3 linked regions of the Oryctolagus cuniculus genome follow. The protein of the gene in region 2 interacts with the protein of the main gene of each other region in a pairwise test. Links are inferred from orthologs where the notes say so. Each region holds a gene or a part of one and is shown on either strand. Other genes may lie near its edges.

Region 1 (3,518 bases), on a different chromosome or scaffold from region 2:
AAGGAAGACCTTTCTCTCTGTCTCTCTCTCTCTCACTGTCCACTCTGCCTGTCAAAAAAATAAAAAATAAATAAATAATAAAAAAAAAAAATTCACACGCAAAGGCGCCATTTAGCCACTCACCGCTTGGTGCCCTTTGACTTGGGATTTTTGGCGAAGAGAGAGGTGTCAAGGGACTCCAGGGACTTTCCTTTGGTGCTAAACAGCCTCTGGGCTCGCTCTTCGAGAGTTCTAGAGACAGGAGGAACAAAGTATTACAGGGTTACTTCATACCATACATGCTTGCTTGTTTTTACAGTAAGTGATGATGGGAAAATATACAAAAAATACTTAGAAAATCACGTAAACATGTGCACACTAAGTAGGAGTTTCGATAGAAAAGTCATTCTCTTACCCACCACATTTCAGGCCTAAAGCTAAGAGGGCAGATTTCAGTCTGTCCAGACCCAAGGAGGCCAGCTCCTGCATAAATGAGAGAGACAGGTTCCAGTAACACAGAACTAGATTTTGGGCAACAACAAACGAAAGCTGGTGTGTGGGTGCTCCTGAAGTTGGCAGGGCCACGCAGCCCAGAGTCAATCTCCTTGAGGAAGTGCAAAGCCTCCACAAGACTGACTCTGTGGTCATGTCCAGACAGAACCATCTGGTAGTGTTCCATTCCTTCCACCACAACCTAATGTAGTTAGAATTAGTCCTTTTTGGGGCTGGCACTGTGGTGTAGCAGGTTAAGCCACCGCCTGCAATGCTGTCATCCCATATGGGTGCTGATTCAAGTCCTGGCTGCACCACTTCCAATCCAGCTCCCTGCTAATGTGCCTGGGAAAGCAGCGGAAGATCCCCCAAGTGCCTGGGCCCATGTGGGAGACCCAGAAAAATCTCCTGGCTTCAGCCTGGCCCAGACCCAGCTGTTGTGATCATTTGGGAAGTGAACCAGCACATGGATGAGTTCTCTGTCTCTCCCTCCCTCACCATAACTTCAAGTAAATAAGTAAATCTTAAAATTAAAAAAAAAAAAAAAAAAGATTGCAGCATAATTCACGATAGCTAAGATGTGAAATCAACCCAAATGTCCATCAACTGAAGAATGGATAAAGAAATTATGGGATATGTACACCTTGGAGTACTACACAGTGGTTAAAAAAAAAAAGGGAATCTTGTTTGCAACAAAATGGATGAAACTAGAATACATCATACTTAGTGAAATAAGCCAGTCCAATAGGACAAATACTGTATGTGCTCCCTGATAACTAACAGAGCACCTAAAAGGTAATCTATAGAAGTGAAATTGACACCTTGAGATACAATGACTTTGAACAGCCCTTGTCTCAACTGCTGAGGAACATTTTTTTCATACTATTCATTAAACTCTATACTAAGAGTTAATCGTACGTGTATAAAGTTAACTGAAAATAGATCTTAGTGGAAAATAAGAATGGGAATAGGAGAGTGAGAAGGAAGTGGGGTGGGTGTGTGGATGGGAGGGTGAGTATTCTGGGAAGAATCACTACGTTCCTAAAGTTGTACTTAGGAAATGCATGAGGTTTATATTCCCTAAATAAAGGTTTCTGGGGAGAAAAAAAATTACTTTCAAAGCTGTGAATTTATTTTTCTCTTTCCACATTCTCTGTTAACACCTGGTCCCAGAAAATGGTGCCCTAAGATAACGCGTCCATGGCATTAAAGCAGGAGAGTGTGTGGCTGTTTTCAAAGATGGACAGATCAGAGATGCTGCTGACAAAAACCTACCTCCCAGGAGGAGAATGCAGACAGGTCAAGATGGGCCCCAGCATGGGTCAGTGCGCTGCTTGTCTCTTTCTGGCAAGAACAATGATGTTTGTGAAAATCCAGGTTTAGGACCAGAGTAAGGGAGCTGTTTACATTAAAAGGTGTTGGTGGGTCCCTTTTTTATACACATTTATAAATAAGGAGCGAGTTTTTACACGAGCACAGAAAAAAACAGAAGGTACATTTTCTCCCTGATGGATCAGGCAACATCCCCAGGAGTGAAAACACCGATCATCATCACATAATTTAAATGAACTTTGGTCAGCAGGGCTCAGTCAACGGCAAATGGGCCCTGACAAACCTTGTTCCAACGTACACAGAGCAAACCGAGCACACCTGGTAGGAACAACGCCTCACGGCCACAACTGATACCAACAACATCCTAATGCCCTGGGTGGAGGTAGGGAATACTTTTTCTGCCAAGAGCCATCTGGATATTTATAACATCATTCTCAAGCCATCCAAAATCATCAACTTAAAAATTAGCCTGTTATAGAACTTCAAGTTCCACCCGCTGCTGCCTTGGCAGGGCCAGATCAAATGATTTTGTGGGCCTCATACAGCCCATGGGCTGGATTTTCCCCACTCCTGCCCTAAGCAGACACTCAAGATTAAAGGAAAATAAACCCAAACCCCACTGGAGCTCACCGGCCAACCAGGAAAGGTACCATTCTCCCACTTCTTCTCAAACTCAGTCTGAATCTTTCCAAAGAGTTCATTCTGATCTTGGAGGGGCTTCACGCGATCTGTGTAATCCTGAAGGTACTCAAGCAGCATCTCCAGATATCTGACACCACAGACAGCAAACAGTTCTGTTTTCAATACATCGCTATGCTCTCTGTAGTATACTTACAATTCTAATAGTGCTAGTTACTAAAGTAATAACTCATTTTTAAGTTTACAATTGACGTTCCCCCACCGTATCATTTTGATTGATTTTTCCTACCTGCTTTCATCCTTGTGACATAATGTCAAGCACTAAAGTCTTAATTAACTCTTACAGAAAAGATTGCAGGTAAAAAGAAAAACACAGGGAGCTAAGGATGCAGGCTCACTAAGCGGTGGCATAATTAGCATAAATGTAACTTTTCATTTATACAGCAGACCCAGGCCCCTCACTTAAGCCACAATCTGAGAAATTTTTCTTCTCTAAACTCCAAAAACCGAAGTTTCTGAGTGAGAGACTTCCTTCTACAATAAGACAAAATCAACAACAGTACGGGCGTGAAATCGGATGTGCCCACAGACACATGCTTGCCCAAAGTCAGTGTACCACAAATTCTTTAAAACTGTATCATTTACAACCCTAACCTGCAATAAATCTGGAAACCATTCACGTTTGCCTTTCCAGCAGAATTCAGAACGCTTCCCTTGAACCTTCACAGTATCTTCTAATACAATCAAGTAGAGCCCTGGCAGCTACTAACGCTTACCTCTTATACTCCGCATTCTTCCTTTCTTTAGGAATGTCAAATAACTGGTCAAAAATAGACAGGTATGTGATATAATCCAGCTTCTGCAAAGAGGGGGAAAATGGAAAGAGATTCAATTAAGTATTTGCATCAAACTGATGTAATCTTCAGTAAGTGAGATCAAAATTGAGTACTTTCTAAGAAAGTAACAAGAGTTGGCTATTTTAGTCTCCCCCCTACCTCCACCATGGATCAGTCCCCAATATTAGAGATATTTCCACTGGACTCAGTGGAAGGCCAGCAGACACACCACAACTCTAC
Region 2 (3,518 bases):
TAGGCTCCCTGGTTGATTGGATGGTTCCCACTTATATTCAGGACTAATCTGCCCCACTCAGTTCACTGACCTACCGCCAATCTTCTCTGGAAACCCCTTTATGGATATGCTGAGGATGATTTACAAATTCTCAAGGCATCCTTCAACTCAGTCAAGTTGATATCAAAAATCAACCATCACAATGTGTTATCTTCATTTTTAAGTTTATCCATCACTTCCTTCTTCCCTTTCTTCTAGTGTACACTTTTGACCCCCTTCTCTTTTCATTTTCTTTATATTTAGGGGTTTTTCCCTTAGTGATTACCCAGGAGGTGACAGTTAATATGCTAACTTTATAATAATCCAGTGTTATTAATACTTGGTTTCAGTAATATAAAACAGAAAATTTTAGTAGAAAAATTCTGCTCTTTTTTCAGCTCCATATCCTCCTTTATATTGCTGTTGAATAAATTATATTTTTATACACTGTATCCGTTAACACAGATGTATAATCATAGTTTTATCCATTGTCTATTAAATCATATGGGGAAAAAGATGAGTTAGAAACCATCAACTGCAACATTACTAGCTGTTATATTTACTTATGTAGTTACTTTTATTGTATTTAAATGGTTTTGAATTATTTAGTGTCCTTTCACTTTAATATAAAAGATTCCCTATAATAGTTTATGTAGAGCAGGCATATTAGCTATTTCTTATAAGGTAGATATACCAGGAAAATCTTTAGTTTGTGTTTATCTGGGAATGTCTCAATTCATCCTTCATTTTTGACAAATATTTTTTATGGATATAGAATTCTTGATTGATAGTTTGTCTTTTTTTTTTTTTCCTTTCAACATTTCAAATATCTCGCTACTTTCTGGTCTCTATGTCTTCTGAAGAGAAGTCAGCTGTTGATCTTACGGAGGATCTTTTACATATGATAAGTCACTTCTCTCTTGCTGCTTTCAAGATGCCCTTTTATTTATGAAATTTATTTATTTATTTGAAAGGCAGATGGACAGATATATAAATATATATGATGGGACAGAGAAAAAGAGAGAATGTTAACAGTTTATCTGTTCTGGTTCTCACAGAACTGGATAAGCCAACTAGTTTCTATCTTTGACAACATTAGTGGAGGAATACAGGCTACGATATCTCCAAAATCACCTGCTCCCAACCCCGACATAGATGGTGTGGGCCCCATCCGAGATCAGTTTTCCTGCCCCTCCAACCTCACAGTTATGCACCATTGCCAGACCCTCTCTGCCAGTCCACAAGCAGCACATACGTGTTTTTAAATAAGGACTGGAGTGGAGAAAGGCCTGGATGGTTGATGATATCATGCCAATGGCTGAGGAAACTGACTGATATTCCAATGCTTTGTAAATGATTTCTAGAAAATCAAAACAAGGCTAATAACTACTAGACCTGCAGCTGAAAGTAAAACTTTCTACTGACACATATAGAAAGTAGGTGGTGAGAGGGATGTAAACAATACATATTTCTTTGGTTGAGCAGTCTTTTTTCTTGGGCCTTGACTCCCTATTAAAGTTTAAACAGTATCATAAGCTATTATGTTAGAAAAACACTGAATTTATTGGATCAGTTTCAAAGGTGAGATTTTGTACTTTTATTCTAGTTCTGTCAATTCTCAGTTCTTTTAGGAACAGAGGCCACCGTCCTAGAGTGCTGAAATGGACAATGAGGAAGAGAAACTCATTTAAGCTATTCTTTTCCAAAGGTATCCTCCAGACCCTCCTCCAACACAGATCCAGGCAACTATGTTGAAGTGAATGATTCAATCACCCACATGCCGTCCAAAGGGGTGATACAAGATATTACTATGGAGCTACACTGCCCACTGTGTGACGACTGGTTCCGTGACCCACTAATGCTAAGCTGTGGTCACAACTTCTGCCAGGCCTGTATCCAAAACTTTTGGAAGCTGAAAGCTAAGGAAACATTCTGTCCTGAGTGTCAAATGTTATGTCAATACAGCAACTGTACGTTCAATCTTGTACTAGAGAAGCTGGTGGAGAAGATTAAGAAGCTACCCCTACTCAAGGGCCCCCCACAGTGCCCAGAGCATGGAGAGAACCTGAAGCTGTTCAGTAAGCCAGACGGGAAACTGATCTGCTTTCAATGCAAGGATGCCCGTTTGTCTGTGGGGCAATCTAAGGAGCTCCTGCAAATCTCCGATGCTGTCCGTTTCTTCATGGTGGGTGAGCCCAGGCTTCACACAACCCCTTAGGAAAGCTAGGGAAAATCTTTTGTAGCCTCTTCTGTCTTCTAAGTTCACTTTATTCCAATGATGATAAAGAGAAGCTCAGAGTGCTCAGGAAATACAATGCAGCTGGCAGAGTTCTTTCTCTACAGTTGCTGCTTACAGGAATGGGACAGTGGAACTCTCCCCCTTCAGTCAAATATTTGCTTAGACTCTGCCATGACAGCACTCTACCAAACATTGCAGAATAATGATGCTCTCATTAGAAAGGTTTTCAAGTCTATTCAAGTTTAAAGTGATTAAAATAATGGAAGAAATATCAAATAGTCTACTATGGGGAGTTAAATTTTGTTATGTTTGTAATTCATAAGTGTTTAGAATTTCTGTGATCAGAGAAAGCTGGATAGGGTATGCATAATGAAAGAAAAAGGATAGGGCTTGAACTGGAATTTGAACGAGTAGGAGGAAGAAACAAGTATTCCAATTGAGGACAACATAAGTAAAAGTATAGATGAGAACAGTATAACTAGAGTGGAAAATGTATTGAGTTCCATTATCTTTTTCAAACCCCTATAGTTAACTATTAGAGCAAAACTAAATTTTTCTGCTTGTAATTTTCTTCATAGTCCTTGAAAAATATGGGAGCTATGATACAGGGGAAAGGGGAAAACCTTTTTTTTTTTTTTAATTTAAAACTTATAGGAGCTGTCGCTGTGGCATAGCAGGTAAAGCTGCTGCCTGCAGCACTGGCATCTCAAATGGGTGCCAATTCAAATCCTGGTTGCTCCACTTCCTATCCAGCTCCCTGCTAATGTGTCTGGGAAAGCAGCAGAGGATGCTCCAGGTCCTTGGGCTCCTGTACCCACATGGGAGACTTGGTGGAAGGTCTTGGCTCCTGGCTTCAGCCTGGCCTAGCCCTGGTCATTGCAGCCATTTGGGGAGTAAACCAGCAGATGGAAGACCTCTCTCTCTCTCTCTTTCTCCCTCTCTCTCTCTCTGTAACTGTCTTTCAAATAAATAAAATATAAAAAAAAGAATTTTATTTGAAAGGCAGAGCAAGAGAATGAGAGCGAGAGCTAGAGAGAGAGAGAGAGAGAGAGAGAGAGAGAGAGAAATCTTGCATGCACTGGTTCACTCCCCCGATGACCACAACAGCCAGAGCTGGGTCAGGACCAAGTTAGGAGCCTGGAACTTTATCTGGGTCTCCCAGTTGGGTGGTAGGGACTCAAGTACTTGGGATATTTTCTGTTACTTTCTAGGCACATTAGTATGGACTGGATTGGAAGCTGAACAGCCAGAACTCAAAGTG
Region 3 (3,736 bases), on a different chromosome or scaffold from region 2:
AGAGAGAGAAAGAGAAAGGTCTTCCTTCTGTTGGTTCACCCCCCAAATGGCTGCTACAGCTCCTCTGAAGCCAGGAGCCAGGTGCTTCCTCCTGGTCTCCCATGCGGGTGCAGGGCCCAAGCACTTGGGCCATCCTCCACTGCCTTCCCGTCCACAGCAGAGAGCTGGACTGGAAGAGGAGCAACTGGGACAGAACTGGTGCCCCAACCAGGACTAGAACCTGGAGTGCTGGCGCCGCAGGTGGAAGATTAGCCTAGTGAGCTGCAGCACCGGCCAGTCCCCAAGATTAAGTGCCCTCCATTTATAGATGAGAAGGTTCAGGACCTGTTGTGTGAGTTTTCTTTCTTTCTTTAAAAAAAAAAAAAAAAAAAAGATTTATTTATTTGAAAGGCAGAGCGAGAGAGAGAGTGAGACTGAGACCTTCCACCCACTGGCCTACTCCCCAGATGCCTACAACAACCAGGTCTGGGGCCAGGCCATGGCCAGGAGCCAGGACCTGGTCTCCCATGTGGGTGGTGGGGGCCCAAGTACTTGGGCCATCTTCTGCTGTCTTTCCAGGTGCATTAGCAGGAAGCTGGATTGGGATCAGAGCAGCCAATACTCAAACTGGTAGTTCCAATATGAAATGCTGGTGTCGTGAGCAGCAGCTTAACCCGCTGCACCATAACACCAGCACCCTGTATGGGTTTTCTTTTGCCCCATCTCCAGGGGGCCTGGCTAGCAGGGGGTGAGGAGGTGGGTGGGGAGTGCTTTGGGCCCCAGGCCTACCTTGGAAACAGGGAGAGGTTTGGCTTGATGTCTGGGGCTTTGGGCCCTGTCCCTTGGGCAGCCATGAGGACACGGGGGCTCCCAGGCACGGCCCCCCCCCCCCCCCCCCGCCTGTGAGTGCCTGTCCCATGGCTGCGGGCCGGTGGAGAGTCTGCTGGTGCCTCTGTGCAGGGCTGTGTGATCTGGGGCACTTCCGGCTTCTCTTGCAGCAGCGTAGCTCGGGGCTGACGTTTCTACCTGACAGGCCTGGCACGGGAGTGCCGGACTGGAAGGTTGTCTGGACTCCACTGGGCAGGGGTGGGGATTTTCTACGCGCAGGTTTGCTACATGCTGTGCTCCTGTGCCTGGGGCCTGGCGTGCCCGGGCAGGATGATGGCACACAGCAGCTTCCTGCCTGGGTGGCGGAGGGCTGGAGGTGGAAACGGGCTCCCTGTGGGCAGTCCAGGTGGGGTGTGGGGCTGGAGCCCTTTCTCTTCGTCCCTTAACTTCAACACCACCAATTTTTGGGTTAGCTGAAGCAAACTGGTGGCTTCCCGGGGTTCAGTTTCCCCAGCTGCAAAGTGGAGCTGTTGAGAGGACACTGAGGCCGAGCTGGCTGGAGCCCGTGCAGTCTGGGGCCCGCACGCTCGCTTTACAGCACGCCCTCCCCAGCCTTTCCCCCACACCTTTTCTCCCTCTGCCTCTGCTGTGCCTGGTCCTCCCTATCCAAACCCACTTCGCAGGAGGGAGGGGGTGTGGGTGGGGCCACAGGCCCTTGAGCGTTGACTTTGCCTGCCGATTGGCTCTCTATGAATAGAGGGCGTGGCTTTCACCTTATAATAGGGAAGGCGTCTTTGCCTGGCTCAGCTTGGCCGAGCCTTTGTCTGAGCGAGCTCAGCCCCTTTTTCTTTCCTTCACCGCAGCCGTTGCGGGCGTCCAGATGCCGTTTTGGGCTGCCAGCTGCCGGCTTTCTACCTGAATCTGTCTCCTTGCTCTGATCTCCATACACCCACGCCTCGGGGTATGTAACAGCCATGCCTGTGGACACGCTGACCCCTGGAGCCCCAGCCGCCCCAGCCCTGCCTTTCCGCCTGCGGACTAAGGTCCCCGGTTACCTGCTTCGGAGGCCAGCAGACGGTGGAGCCCGGAAACCCAGTGCTGTGGAGCGCCTGGAGGCCGACAAGGCTAAGTACGTGAAGAGCCTGCATGTGGCCAACACCCGCCAAGAGCCCGTGCAGCCCCTGCTGTCCAAACAGCCCCTCTTCAGCCCCGGGACTCGCCGCACAGTGCTCACGCCCAGCCGCCGGGCCCTGCCTGGCCCTGGCCGCCGACCCCAGCTGGACCTGGACATCCTTAGCAGCCTCATCAACTTGTGTGATAGTCCCGTGTCCCCTGTCGAGGCCAGCTGCGCCCCTGCACAGGCGGAAGGCGTCCGCCAGGCTCCCCCAGCCACGCCTCCACGCCCGCCCCCCACGACGGCTGCGGTCCGCAGAGTGGACGTCCGCCCGCTGCCTGCATCTCCGGCCCAGCCTTGCCCGTCGCCCAGCTCAGCCACCGCCTCCAGCCCAGCCCGGCCGCCGGGCCTGCAGCGCTCCAAGTCGGACTTGAGCGAGCGCTTCTCCAGGGCGGCCGCCGACCTCGAGCGCTTTTTTAACTTCTGCGGCCTGGACCCTGAGGAGGCACGGGGGTTGGGCGTGGCCCACCTGGCACGGGCAAGCTCGGACATTGTGTCCCTGGCCGGGCCCAGTGCTGGGCCGGGCAGCTCCGAGGGCGGCTGCTCCCCGCGCAGCTCCGCCACGGTGGAGGAGCGTGCCCGGGAGCGCGTGCCCTACGGCGTGTCGGTGGTGGAGCGCAACGCCCGCGTCATCAAGTGGCTCTATGGCTTGCGGCAAGCCTGGGAGACCCCAGCGGCGGAGGGCTAGGCCTCTGCTGCGCTGGGAATTCACCGCAGGACACGTCTTGGAGGGGCCCTTGGCCCTTGACCTCTTGCATCCACTCCCTAGCTATGGGAGATCGGACACCTCCTGGGGGAACTTGGTTTGGAGGCCAAGGCTGAGAGGCTGGACCAGCAGCTTCTGGCTAGGACTGAGCCTGGAGAGGGTTGCTCTTGGCTTTGGGCCCCTCTCCCCCAAGTTCATGGCCTTTGACACCAATGTATCCTCTCTGGTGGGGCTGGATGTGGGGTGCTCAGCCCTCCCCACTGAGGGTTAGCGGCCCGGGGATCTGGCTGAGCCTGTCTGCCCAGTGACCATTTCCTCCTTCCTTCCTGGGCCTCTGACCCTTGCCGACTTCCTCTTCCTTACCCAGAGGGCCCCCGCTCCCTGGCAACTCACCCTGGGGTGGGGGCAGGGACCCGGGGCCTGCCCACTGCTCTTCCTGGTCTTTGGCTGTCGGCCTAGGTGGATAGACTACAAGAAGGACTGGTTAGAAGCCTGCACTGCTCTGATTTCCCTCCCCCTGGTTAATAAACACACGTGCTTGTTTCCCAAGGGCTTTCTGTGTTTACCAGGGGAAGGGTGGGAGAACCGTGGGGTGCAAACTTCACGTCTTCGCCATTGTTCACCCTGGGGTCCTGTGGGGGCACGTGTGCACCTGGCCCTGCGGGTGTCCTCATCACTCCTCCCTCTGGGAGGCTGGCAGGTGTCCTGCATGGAGGAGGAGACTGTGCAGCCCAGCCACAGGGGGGAGTCAGCACAGAGCTGGGAACAGTGCTGGGAAGGGGATCTGCAGGGGATGGGCCGGGGGGGGGGGTGCCTGGACCCTCCCCTGCACCCCGCCCAGGTCCCAGGGAGGCAGGAAGCCTGGGGAGGGCTGACGAGGAACTTATCACACAGACGGTAAAGGGAAGAAGAGGACTGGGGGTGGGCAGTGCAGAGTGAGTGGCCTTGCCTTGAACTCTGGGGGATCCTGGGCCAGCCAGTCTCCTCCCTGGGCCTCGTGGGAGGGTGGGACAGTTAGGGTCGCCCGGTCCTCCCTCCTGGGTATTCCG

Evidence for each region.
Region 1: the proteins of TRIM69 (region 2) and SF3A3 interact in binary tests that used the Homo sapiens proteins (3 or more experiments, as listed by UniProt). The two-hybrid records come from large-scale screens. The link is inferred for Oryctolagus cuniculus from reciprocal best matches to the Homo sapiens genes TRIM69 and SF3A3.
Region 3: the proteins of TRIM69 (region 2) and FAM110A interact in binary tests that used the Homo sapiens proteins (3 or more experiments, as listed by UniProt). The two-hybrid records come from large-scale screens. The link is inferred for Oryctolagus cuniculus from reciprocal best matches to the Homo sapiens genes TRIM69 and FAM110A.

Annotation. Positions count from the first base shown.
Region 1 is NC_091438.1:134,823,325-134,826,842, reverse strand, and holds part of SF3A3 (splicing factor 3A subunit 3), read right to left. Parts: intron 3,302-3,518; coding exon 3,219-3,301; intron 2,573-3,218; coding exon 2,434-2,572; intron 1,816-2,433; coding exon 1,747-1,815; intron 463-1,746; coding exon 395-462; intron 232-394; coding exon 124-231; intron 1-123. UniProt on the Homo sapiens protein: Component of the 17S U2 SnRNP complex of the spliceosome, a large ribonucleoprotein complex that removes introns from transcribed pre-mRNAs.
Region 2 is NC_091443.1:67,645,999-67,649,516, forward strand, and holds part of TRIM69 (E3 ubiquitin-protein ligase TRIM69), read left to right. Parts: intron 1-1,726; coding exon 1,727-2,203; intron 2,204-3,518.
Region 3 is NC_091442.1:26,842,989-26,846,724, forward strand, and holds the end of FAM110A (protein FAM110A), read left to right. Parts: intron 1-1,670; 5' UTR 1,671-1,781; coding exon 1,782-2,669; 3' UTR 2,670-3,236; downstream 3,237-3,736.